3 linked regions of the Schizosaccharomyces pombe genome follow. Changing the gene in region 2 together with the main gene of any one other region gives a genetic interaction. Each region holds a gene or a part of one and is shown on either strand. Other genes may lie near its edges. The genes, in order: psy2, SPOM_SPAC212.06C and cti6.

Region 1 (5,242 bases), on a different chromosome or scaffold from region 2:
TATATGAAGGCTCTTGAATCGGGCTGTATCGATTACTTCAAGCGTGGAGGTAATTGTGTTGAAGGTCCCATTCGTTTATTAGGCGGTTTAGACCATAGCCCTTCTCATCTTATCGGCCACTTCTATGCCGTCTGTCTCTATGGTATTTACCAATATGTCTTGTCTGGTCCTGCTTTGCTTATGCCCGTCCGTATCATCGAATCCTTATTGATTTTCTTACAAGCTTCGCTAGTAATTATCCCTTATATCCTTAGCGAAATGTCATCCTAAGTTTGCAGAATCAGTTCATTAAAATTAAATTATTTTTGATTTATGAATTGGTTGATTATGATTGTCTTGGCAATCACTGATAGCTATTTGGTTTTTGCCTTGTTTGGTACGTCGTTGTTTTTAAAGAAATAGTTTTAGATAGAGTTGGGTTCAAGTTTGTAATGACTTCACACTCTTTTTGTTTATTATATAAATCCCTCTGTTTTTCAAGAGTTATAAATTGCCGTTTTAATATAAAATACTTTTTTTTAATTTTTAAGCCTACTAAGTACAATTATTCGTCAGCGTTAAGTAAACAATTATCCCGAGACTACAAGACCACGATAGTAACATGAAAATTGGTATTTATTATTTTAAAAGTCCCTTAATGAACAACCCAAATCGTTTATATTATACAGATGAGTTTTCAAAACAATGATAAACCCGGGAACAAAAATACGATGTCCATATGATGATTCACTTGCATTACAATCTTCTAGAGTTTTTGGAGCTTCCCTTTTTATGTTCATCTTCTAGGAAGCGTAGCCATTCTGGGCAGAACTTGAATCGATAGAGAGTCTCTTTTTTGGTGATTCATCATCAGCTTGCTGATCATCAACTTGGAAATCCGATTTCCTTTTAGAATAACGGGTGTTTGAAACATTAATACCTGAAGATTCTGCAGAGGTATCATAAACTGCAGACTCAAGGAAATAACGATCCTCTAATATAGGTTGCTTTGGCTGCTCGCAACTGTCTTCAATATTTAGCTCAGCAGGGGCTATAGAATCAAGAACAGTACGTTGTCCAACTTTTTCTGATAATTCAGTATCGTTTTCAATAGAAAAATCTTGCTGTATTTCCCAATCTTTGGATACGTCGTCTCCAACACGTTGGTTATTATTGGAGGCACCGTCAAATTCATAACTATTTGATTCATGAGTCCCAACAGTTTTAGGGCTTCTTGAGTCAGAGCTTAAGCCATCTATTATATTTAAAAGCTCAGAAAAAGTACTGAGATTATTTAAAGATTCCAGCTGTGGTCGATAGTTTTTATTGAGATAATCCAGTGTATCTTCAGATCCCTCGGATCTTAAAAATTCAAAAAACTCTAAAGCAGCTGAGTTGACTAAATTAGTTTGGTCTTTGACCTTTAACATCAAGTCCAGAACTTTTCCGTATGTGTCAGTTTCTAACATGATCAAGGACATTTCTGACTGACGAGCGGCCAAACAAGAGCGAATAAATCTAAGGGCGCTCAAAACAACATATTTTCTATCGCTGTATAGTAATAGAGCCACTTTTGATGTAAGGGTTTTATATGTATCAAAACGACGAGACCAATAATCGTGTATACGAAAAAAATAACAAAAAAGCTCACACAAATGCATATACATATCAAGCTTTTTAACATCTAAACTCGATACATTTTCCAGCTCCAATAAAGGAGCAGCAAGCATATTAAAAGAGTTATCATAAAAATTTTCAATAAAATTAATTCCAATAATGTTATCGGTTTTATTTCGAACATTTCCATCAGCATTTCTGTAAGGATTATTGTATGCATAGCTACCAGGTAAACTTAGTAGCATTTTAAAAGCTTCAGAAATTTGAGCAAGTACTCCAGGATTTGATTCTTTATGCAAAATGTTAATTAAATTGGAAAGCAACGAATGTTGGGAAACGTGAGCATTGCTCAATGAAGAAGAAGCGTCCTTGCGATCTTGATCAAACTTTTGCCAAACGATGGCAGGTTCATGATCAATAATAGACACCAAAATATCGGAACCAGCATTTCGAACGGAATTGTTCTCATGTGACATTGCATAATCCAAAGCTTTCAGAAGATTAAATTTAACGAAAGTAGCAAATAATGCAGAGCAGGACTGGAATTGTAGCCCTTTAGCGATGTTGCAAACCTGCTGAATAAAGAATATACCGTCTTGCTTGCGTTGATCATCCTCGCCTTCATTCACATAAATGCTAAACAGTTCATGTAAAAATTTTTCATTTGTTTGAAGGTATTGAATAATATCAGCCTGGTTAAAGAAGATAAATGAATTTAGCACCGAAAAGGAGGGTTCGTCAACAATCCTTGAAACGACAACATCCCTTAGATACTGAAGCTTAAATGTCTGGTGAATTTTTGCAAGAATCCGTGGATCCTGAATGGGAACCACCTGCTTAAACTTTTTGGAATCCATTAAATATTCCCGATGGTTCGCTTTGATATTGGGGAATTCCGGATCGTATTCGAGAATACCAGCTACACACATTAGCTTTTCATCATTAGAGAACAACGATTCGAGTAAAGGGGCGTCGTTCAATTGCACTGACAGCGATTAGCAAGGATTTAACGAATCTAAAAAGTATAAAGTAGATTAACATACCAAAGCTTTTTATTATGGAACACAATCGATGAAGGTCATCTGTATTCTCTAGATCCTCACACAGAGGAAAAAGTTCAATAAGTCTATCAATATAATTTTCATTTGAAACATAACGAACCAAACTATCTCTTGATTGAATAGACTGCATATATCCATATACTGCTTCTTCAATTTCTTTTAAATTAGCAAGCTCTGGGGCTGGAAGATCGACCGTGTTTAGGTAGTTTTCATTAAGCGCCCCCTCATCCGTCAATATATCATCGTTGGAGTAACTTCTAGTTACCGATGATATTGCCTTTTGAACATTTGCTAAAAACATCCACATGTCTATACAACCGCTAGATTCTTGAAAGCTTAAAGCAAGATCAGTACCATTCAATTCTTGCCAGACTATGAGAGTTTCTTCTTGACGGCTGTATATATCTTCCGCAATCAATTGTGTTTTCAAAAGGATGGTTTCATTATCAGCTTCTGAACGCACAATGAAATAAGCCAACGGTCCCTCTATTTTTCCATCGCAATAACCGGTGCCACAGTCTACCCAGTTTTCATCTTCCATTTCGTACACTTTTACACGTCTGGGAATCGATGGCACTTCGATCTTCTGCAATGCAGCTGCAATTGCTTCGTCTAATTCCTCTTCTTCATTTTCTCCATCTGAAATTTCATCAATATTATTATTTAAATCTTCCTCTTCCTTCGTAGAATCCATTTCTACGGCGGATTAAGGGTAGACGTCAGCTTCGAATTTACGACGTTGGCGTTCGTCACCAAATTTTCAAAAGTGAAGACGAAATTCAAACGTGGTGGTGAATGAATGCAATACCGTAGATTGCACCAAGATTGTAATTATTAATAAATGTATTTCTCATTAAATGGCAATGCCGCTTTACTTAATTATTTGGTTTGCCTAAAATATAACAAATAGATTTGTTAAGCAGTGTACTATGTATATTTCACGTGCATAATTTTGAAGTGTTATGGCAGAATTATGTTCTTTATAGAGTCAAATAACTATTATATACGTGATCGTGGTGCTTTCAGTCACTATTTTTCATTGTAATTCGGTATCTGTTTACAACAATATCATTAACGGACGTTATGCATTTTAACGATGAGTACTTCACCGCTCGGTGTATATGCTGTAATCAATCCTTATATCGAGTTGTGTTTTAAACGTTTTATACTGTCTACAATTAGCATTTAAATCTTTTCGAAATAGTAAATAAACTAAATATGAATATAAATAAAGTTAATTATTGTCTAAACACATGTGTAGCCTCGTCAAATCAATTTTTTGCAAGTCAATCATGAGGCTCAGGGTACATTTGTAAAGTAATAGTTAATTTTTAAGTACAAACTAATGGTATTTATACCGATATATATATTGAAAGCTGCTAAAGCTTCGCTAGATATTCAAGTACTCTAGCAAATGCATCAATATAAATACAGTTTTTTTGCTTTTACTAAGTTTTATTGTTAAAGCGTAATACGAGAAATTTGCCAAATGAGAACACGAATTGAATTGATATAATTCCAGAAATAAAAATTATGTATTCAAGACGATGACTGTTGCGATATGCATGCTTACGAGTTTATCGATATATAAAAGACAAAGAGAGTTGAGCTTACCAAAACATATACTGATCCTTCATGGAGAAAAAACAAGATAACGAGGTGGAATTATATTCAATTGATTTAAAAAATAGAAATGAAAGTGCAAAAATAAAGCTTGCTTATGCGAAAGCGTTAGAGGAAAGCATTCTTTGTGAAACACGAAAAATCGAACAAGAAATTAAAGACCAAGTGGTTCAAAAGGAAAATAAAACATATTTTAATAACAAATTTGATAATCGATATAAATTACGCGACTTGGAAAAAAATTTAGCGGAGGAGGAGGTGAGAATTACGGAGATGCTTACTATTCAACGTCAAGACATTGCAATTGAAAGAAGGAAGAACACAAATTGCTTCAGTGAGTCTTCTCAAGTAGATCAATATTCAGTTACTGAAACCAATCTACAATATGCTACTAACATTGGCTTAAACCTTCTGCAACAGTTGCGGTATTTAAGGCTGCAACTGTCAGAGAAAGAAGATTTGCATAAAAAGTTGTCAGTGGATAATGCCCATTTAATCAAGCAACTTGATCTACTTTCTTCAAACATGAAAACACTTATGAAAGAGAAGACTAAGGTGCAAGGACAAAGGGATTTGCTTGAACAAAGACTACAAGGATTAATGAAAAAATTGACAGAAGTAGAGTCTTTGACCGTTTCACTTAACGATGAGAAGAACAAACTGACATTGGAATTAACAAATTTAAGAATTTGCCTTCACGAGCTTCAACTGAATGCCGAAAAAGGCGAAACTATAGATGAAAGTGAAGATTCTAAAAATACTTTGGTAACTGAGGATGAAAACGACGATTCTGTATTTTTGGAGTCTTCCTCGGATAAGTATTTTGATAGTTCATCTTTTGATGCGGAGCAAGAAGAGAAACACGATTTTCCAATAGATCCTTTTTTGTCGTTGGAATCCAATGTACAAACTTCGGTATCTCAATCATCGGCCGTTCTCAAATCCATCAATTTAGCAAAACA
Region 2 (3,232 bases):
TTTCATTCAAACGAAATCTTCATCTTATTTATCTCATCTGTTCATCAATTATTATTTTCTATCATCATCTTTCACAATACCAACTTACATAACTATTCTTTATTATCTACCGTCTTACTTGTAATATGACTGACTCATTATTTTCATTTCATTTTCATTTTCATTCAATAGCGACACTTTATTCCATTTCTTATTAATCATCGTCATTATCACCTTACACATATCCAATGCAACCATGTAACTGTAACCAACCCATCATCAATAGTGAGCATCGTCGTCCTATTCAAACGATTACTCTCTTTACTCATTTACTTATTTACTTATTTACTCATTTACTTATTTACTCATCTACTCATCTACTCATCTACTCTACTCACTTACTCATTTACTCATCTATTCGTCTTCAACAATTTCAATTTTCATTACGATACCTTGTCATTTCATTCATCTCTTTACTTTGTATATCTATTTTCATTTTTTCTTGCGACTTGATTATTTACAGATTTTCTGATTGTCTATACTCAAATACATACATCACATTCTCACCATACACATATCATATCCTGTATAACCGTAACCACCACTCATTATTTAACGAAAGCACCACCTCTCATTACTTGTCGAGTTCAACATTTTCTTTAAACAAAATACTGAAATAGTTGATCCCAACGATTTCACTTTTCGTTACCAATTCTATGCCATCGTTTACAACATTCATCTCCCATGACTCTTCATTATTCCACAATAACAAACAAATAGCGAGATTTTACTCATGTCTATTTTATAGAAATTGTGTCCATACAAAAACGACTTTAACTTTTTAACCATTTCGTTTTGTCTTGGTACTCAATTTAGATCGTAATCTTGATTACTGACAACAATCGTTTCGGCTGGATTTTGTTTTATACAATCGAACGAATGTTGTCAGAGTATTTTACCTCTCAGCGTAATGTGTAGTTAAGTTTTACCAGACACTGGCGTAGTACTAGTAGTGTTAGTGTTCATAGCACTCATACCACTGCTACTCCCTGGCTGTGGTGGGGGGGAAGACGAAAACGATGCATTATAACGCGAATGTGTTGCAATGGCTGGTTTCGGTGTTTCTGGCAATGTCGGTTTCACTCCATACATCGTAGACACAGTTGATTCTTCACCAAGTAACGAATCTGAGCATCTTGAGCAGTAAACACAGTTAGCAAACGATGCACAACATACACATTCGCCATCCATTTCACTTGCGAGAAACGATCGAACACACATCGTATTATCATTAAGAAAGTTTTTCATCGAATCCTCCACGTAGCTCGACCATGTAGAATCATATTTCTCGTAAAACAATGCTGCAATCGCATACTTGCCATCTCTTCCAGCTCGACCTGTCTCCTGTACATAATCCATAGATGAAGCTGGTAATCTATAGTGTACTACTAAACGCACTCCCATATAGTTGATACCGAGTCCAAATCCCTTGCTAAGCGATCATGATTCGTGTCTTTCCATTTGCGTTCTCCAATTGATCAACTCGCTTGATGAATGGGTGCTTTGTTTCTACCAACAATCCATGGGTCGGGTTGTCTCGAATCTGCAATAGTTCCTGCCACTTATAGCTTGCACGAAAAAAGTTGACGAAATAATCCGATGGCAGATAATGCAAGTTGTCCATAGTGCGTCCATAGATGTAGAGCGCTGTGTTTCGTGTATGTTCAGCCTGTAAATCGAAATAAGATTCTCTCGTCATGTCTTTCTCGATGTTCTTTTTCTTTAAAGTAGTGAGCAATGTGTCTGTAGTTTTGAAATCCCAACGGTTTCTGAATGCATTGGTAGATGGCCTTTGAAAAAATTCGATACGGTAAATCTCTTTGCAATCGTTCGCCAACAATCACAAACATGAAATCCAAGTGTGCATGCAGCTACTTTCGACCTATCAGCGGTTGTCACATACTTCATCAATGCTTCTAATGGTCGAACCAAAACATAGTACCGAAGTGCTAAAATGGAAAGCAGCTCAGAAAGAAACCTGGGGATTGGCTTTTCAGCAAACTTCATATTACGAGTTTTATCGTATCTGCTGTAAATCATCAGTCTTCCAAACATCAAATACAATTCGCGAGTTTTAAATTTGCCATTCCGCAAAGTCCAATACACCATCTCTTGCACTCTGGCTGGTTGTCCAGCAGATATATGTACACTAGAAAAAACAATAACTCATTGAAGATATATGCCTTTGTCTCATACTTTTTAATAGGAGATTTAGACCAATGTGATTTGAGAAACACATCATTGTCATTAGAGTGTCATCAAAAGTACTCGTTCATCAGACTTCACTCATGCATACTATTCTTCCATTACTCCTATAGTTTTTTTTGTTGTATTATCCGTCCGTCCTGAATACTTTTGTGTACGACAAATGTGTGGGTAAAGTGTAGGGTAGGGTTGATAATTCTTATTAACGCACTACACAGTAGAATACGTTTCACACTATATTTTTGTGTCTCCTCCTTCCTACTTTGCTGTTATACTTAAACAATGTACTAGTCCCTCAAATTGCTTCATAAAGAGAAGAAAAAAAATACAACAGACTTAAAAATGATAAATTTTATTTTAAACAAGTGAAATAGTCGATGTACTTGATGTTCATCAAGTTTATACACACTTATGCTTATTATCATTTTATTGAACTTAGAACATAATTTGAAAGCTATTCTAGTATTCATTTATGAGAATTATATTTTTTTTAATTTTTTTTCTTGTTATAATTTATTTATCTTAATTCAATCTTATTTAATTTTACTTTCTTCATTTCTATTCTAAAATCATTTTATCAACGGTATATTAAAAATAACATGTAACAGCTCATTACATTATATGGGAATGCCAATATAGATAGATAGATAGTAGATGGGCTCTGAATAGAGTCTGAATGTGCCAACTCCACATTTGGACTTCATTCAGAAACAACGAGTACTCGACAGTCCACTTCGCGGATAATTTTGATGCAGTTCAAATGACTCCGTTTGTGATTAAAAAAACTCTATTTTGTCTACTTTACCTTCAAATTCCGCAATACATCCACCACACAGCCAAAAAAAGCCATTTTACCAAAAACAAAGCTTTTGCTTATTTTAAAGCTAAAATAATTAATTACATAAGTTTTATTATAATAATGAATCATATCTGTTCCATTCAATGTCATATGTACACCTATCATCTGATGAGTGTCGGTTGTGTTAAT
Region 3 (4,309 bases), on a different chromosome or scaffold from region 2:
CGAGGGTGAGAGAACCAAACGTTTTCGTGGGCCATTTTGGTGTGAAGGTAGAGATTGTTTCAAGCGTTTCTTCTACTAGACGAAAGTCGTGACTGCTCTTCTAGGCATAGGGTAGGGCTAATATAGAGAAATACAATGCATTTCGTTATTTGACATTGTGCTCAACAATGTAAATAAAGTATGTATAGTACTATTTTTTAAGTAGAAATTGTTTTCATTAGACACTTAGTTAAAATATTTGTTCAATTGATGGAATAATCAGGATTTATTTTTTTCCTCTCCAGTACCAAGCCTTATATAACATTATATTGTAGCTGGTTTAATAGGCACTTAATGAAAGATGGATTTTCCTTCAGAAAGTAGTTATTGTGGTGTTTTCTACGTTTGATTTTTTTTTTTTTTTTTAGTTTCAAAACCTCTTGTATTTATTAAATTAGTGAGTACTTTTGAACGTTTTTACTCATTCACTTGGAAATCGGTGTACTCGAAAAACATAGCTCATTTCAAAAAATATACAAAAGTTTAACCTGTAAATAATAATAAATTATATTTCTTCAATTAACCAAACAAAAATTATATCCCTCTCATCAAAGGAACTCTAAATCTTTATCAAAATATCTATCATAAATCAACAAAGGAAACCATTAGATCATAAAAAAGTAAAAATATATGTATGTTGACATGTTCAATTGAACACATCTTTCTCCTTTTTTCTTCCTTTGCTTCTTTTTTTTAATATTACTGATGTAAATTCACACAGTACACAGCATCATCAAGTTCGACTGAATCGTTGTTCCCAATGCAATAAATCCCTGGTGAGATTGTCTACCATCCTAAGAGTTTCCTTCTCTTCTTCTGGGCCTTCTTTCGATGACTTTGTGGATGATTGATTACCAGCAGACTGAGCTGCCATTTCAACTTGAATATGTCCAATATACTCTAGCATAGAGGCAACTCTTCGCCGCATCTCAGTCATAGTGATTCTTGAGTGCAATCCCTTAGGCTTGGTTATGGTCTCTACGAACGTTCCATCCGGATGTAATTGAGGAATTCGGTGATTATCGTTCGAACTAGATTTTCCTCTTCTTCCTCCCACCTTTCTTGTTTTTGAAGGCTTCGGTGCGACAGCTGCTGGAAGATCCGCTTTGTCTTCTGCCGCTGCTTCACGTTTAGCTTTTCGCGTTGACCGAGTAGTGGTCGAAATAGAAGTAATGGTAGATTGTTGTGAGCTTTGAGGGGATGCTTCTCCAGACTCCTCTTTTACTGAGTGCTTTTCTTCATCAGCAATCTCCTCAACCGTATCTACAGTTTCTTCTTCAGGGGCATCCGTTTCAGCGACATTAGTAGTAGAGGTTTCTTTATTCTCTTCGTTTTCGTCCTTCGACTCCTTACTATCTTCTAAAATTTCATCATTCTCTTCTTCAATTTTTTGTTTTAAATTTATTTCGGTTCCTTGCGATTCATCTTGGGGAGCTGGTGGAGAAAGAGACTTCGATGAAGTTCGCCTAAAAACAGTTAGTATATCATCTATGAATATCAATGACCATACCCTCTAGATCTCCTCGGTATTAGTGACTTTTCCTTAGCAATTGCAAGATACTCTTCATAATCAAGAGCGGCGTCTCTGGAATTCATAGTAAGACGTTGCTTAGACGACTTTTTGGTTGCCGGAGATGGGGGAGTAGATGAAGATTCTTCTGTTTGACTGGCTTCTATAGGTTTTCCATTTCCAAGATACTTTGATTGTTTAGCCCTGCGGCGAAGTTAGTAACAATAGTTGAAAAACCCAATTTTTTTAATTGCTAGAAGAGAAAAAAGAATAAAATGGAGATATTTGGAAACCACTGCAATTAGTTTAAAGCATTAGGTATTCAGTGGTAAATCCATTTTAAATCCTTAAGCTCATCTGTTATCAACACTTACCCTCTGCCCCTTTGATATACTTTATGGAATTCTGGATGGCATATTTCGCAATAATATACCTCGGGAACTTCTGATTCATCAGCAAATCCCACACAGTTCCCATGTTGCCAAACTGAGCATTGATCGCACTGAATATACAGCCCCCCGTCACTAGCTTCATCGTCGGATTCGACAATTCCACAAACACAGCGGGTTACTTCTCCAGTACTCGATGTTTCATTCTCTTCATTATCGGAAACTGAGCCATTAGGCGTGTGGGGTGTGTCTACGGGAGATTTCTGAATTTTTTCAGACTCTTCCTCTTTTTCTTCATTAGCGGGAGTTGAATTACTCGGCATAATGTATAATAATCGTTTTATTAAAAAATTGTGCTGTGCGCTTGGGGAATGGTGAAGGATTGGAAGATAGGTAATACATTTACCAACTACAACATCAATGAAATATATCGCGAATTGCTGAAACTTCACGCTTTAAGTAATTAATGTATGGGAAATTTGTTTTTTTATATTCATTTAGTGATTGAATGTTTTTGGTCAAAGTCGTAATGGCACTTTGGTAATAGTTAAATAGTTGAATGGCAAAAACGTTGGATTCTAGGATTCAAGCCCAGAGGGAGACTGCCAATGCATTGAAATGATAGTTAATTAAAAAAAATTGATAAAAACCCAATTATCTTTGTAAACATAAACAGTTTAACACCTTTCATTTTTTTATAGGCCCATTTTGCCCGTTGATTTGCCCTTGACCATCGGAGAACCTGGTTTGTCTGGGAATGGTTATTTAAGTCTCCTAAAGCTTTAGCACTGTTGAATTAGATTAAGAAACTTATATGTTCATCTCAAACTTCATATAATTAAACGTATGGTTTGTTTGACCCACTTTTTATGCTATCTCTCTGTACTAATTATTATTGAAATGAGAATTGACTTGATTTGGGAATGCATATTATTATAAGCTGTATTATGAAGGTTGTGAAATCATTTCTGTAAGGTGCTGCTGCTTTTATAAATTAAAAGAGGTTTTGTAATATCGACATGATATTTGGTATTATCTCCATGTATTCGCATTTTACGATGTTCCTGCAATCTTTAGAATGGCGTATGTGCATATTTTGAAACTAAAAAACATCTTACATTTTAAAAAAGGCTTTTTCCTCGCAATGTCAGAAAAGCAACTGCTACTCGGTTCACCGGGAATTCATGAACAAAACAATGAAATTTGATTGTATTTTTCTTCGATACTATATTCAACTGACTAGATACTTATGAAATAAAATAAAAAACTATTTATATCCTTGTGATCAACGTTTGACAGTGAGAAATTGTTATAATTCTAAATTTTCTCTTTTTATTGAAATTTATTCGATGAAAAAATCAATTGTATGCTCTTCCACCACTTCGAATGCTCTATTGATATAAATATATGTCTATGAAAAATTCGTTTTATTTCTACAGAATTTACAAAATTCTCTAATTTACTGCTAATACTGTGTTCAAGTTGGTAAAATATTCGTGTGCCACAAATATCTATTTTGGTATAAATTTCTCATGTCACTCATTAATTGAGATGATAGTGATAAATATTAACAATTTTTTTAGTAATAGTAAGAAAAGAAATAATATTTCATTGCTTTTATATCTGCTGGCAAACCAGAGTAGAGCGATATCGCATCTGTATATCGTAATTTCATCTCTTTTAACAACCAAGAACGAGCATTCCACTCGTACAGCTGGGAAGGTGCTTTAATACATCGTGTACTATAATTTTTCCTATTATTTATCGGGCTTCTGAATAGATTCTACAATTTAATTTATCGAGCTGGTCTCTTTTTGTCTGCTGATTTCTATTCTACGATTTCTCAGGCGTTTTTTATTCCACGTTCTATTATTTGTTTAGAACCATTTTTTTTATATTGCATAGTTCTTATTTTCTTTTAAAATAACTTTCTTGAACGATTCTTCCAAAAAATCGATCAGTTTGCATACTCATACGCTTAGTACTTAATTGTAATTCGTAAAGTTGGTTCCTAAAAACACCAATTTTATAGCTTCCTAGATTTTTTCTCTATTCCTAGTTTGGGTTAATTTATGTCTGGGTATAGTCCTTTGTCTTCTGGACCAGCAGACGTCCATATTGGAAAAGCTGGGTTCTTTTCTTCGGTTATCAACCTTGCCAATACTATTTTGGGAGCTGGAATTCTTTCCTTACCAAATGCGTTTACCAAGACTGGTCTGTTGTTTGGGTGTTTGACCATCGTCTTTAGTGCATTCGCTTCTTTTTTAGGATTATATTTTGTTTCCCAATGCGCCGCACGACTCCCGAGGGGAAAGGCTTCATTTGCTGCTGTTGCCAAGCACACCTTTCCCTCTTTGGCTGTTGTCTTTGA

The links.
Region 1: mutations in SPOM_SPAC212.06C (region 2) and psy2 together harm fitness more than expected from each alone (negative genetic interaction), as found in Schizosaccharomyces pombe (one large-scale study listed by BioGRID).
Region 3: mutations in SPOM_SPAC212.06C (region 2) and cti6 together harm fitness more than expected from each alone (negative genetic interaction), as found in Schizosaccharomyces pombe (one large-scale study listed by BioGRID).

What each region holds. Positions count from the first base shown.
Region 1 is NC_003423.3:893,783-899,024, forward strand, and holds psy2 (serine/threonine protein phosphatase PP4 regulatory subunit 3 Psy2), read right to left. Parts: upstream 3,633-5,242; 5' UTR 3,352-3,632; coding exon 2,640-3,351; intron 2,582-2,639; coding exon 783-2,581; 3' UTR 590-782; downstream 1-589. Other genes in the region: squalene monooxygenase Erg1, read left to right, coding at 1-270; dynein-anchoring factor Num1, read left to right, coding at 4,293-5,242.
Region 2 is NC_003424.3:16,283-19,514, reverse strand, and holds SPOM_SPAC212.06C (DNA helicase-like protein), read right to left. Parts: upstream 1,444-3,232; coding exon 1,209-1,443; exon of another isoform or gene 1,167-1,208; coding exon 958-1,166; 3' UTR 541-957; downstream 1-540.
Region 3 is NC_003423.3:512,168-516,476, reverse strand, and holds cti6 (Rpd3L histone deacetylase complex PHD finger subunit Cti6), read right to left. Parts: upstream 2,323-4,309; 5' UTR 2,262-2,322; coding exon 1,924-2,261; intron 1,754-1,923; coding exon 1,550-1,753; intron 1,506-1,549; coding exon 773-1,505; 3' UTR 524-772; downstream 1-523. Other genes in the region: rps29 (40S ribosomal protein uS14), read right to left, coding at 1-35; vacuolar amino acid transmembrane transporter Avt5, read left to right, coding at 4,011-4,309. UniProt on the Schizosaccharomyces pombe protein: Could be a component of the RPD3C(L) histone deacetylase complex (HDAC).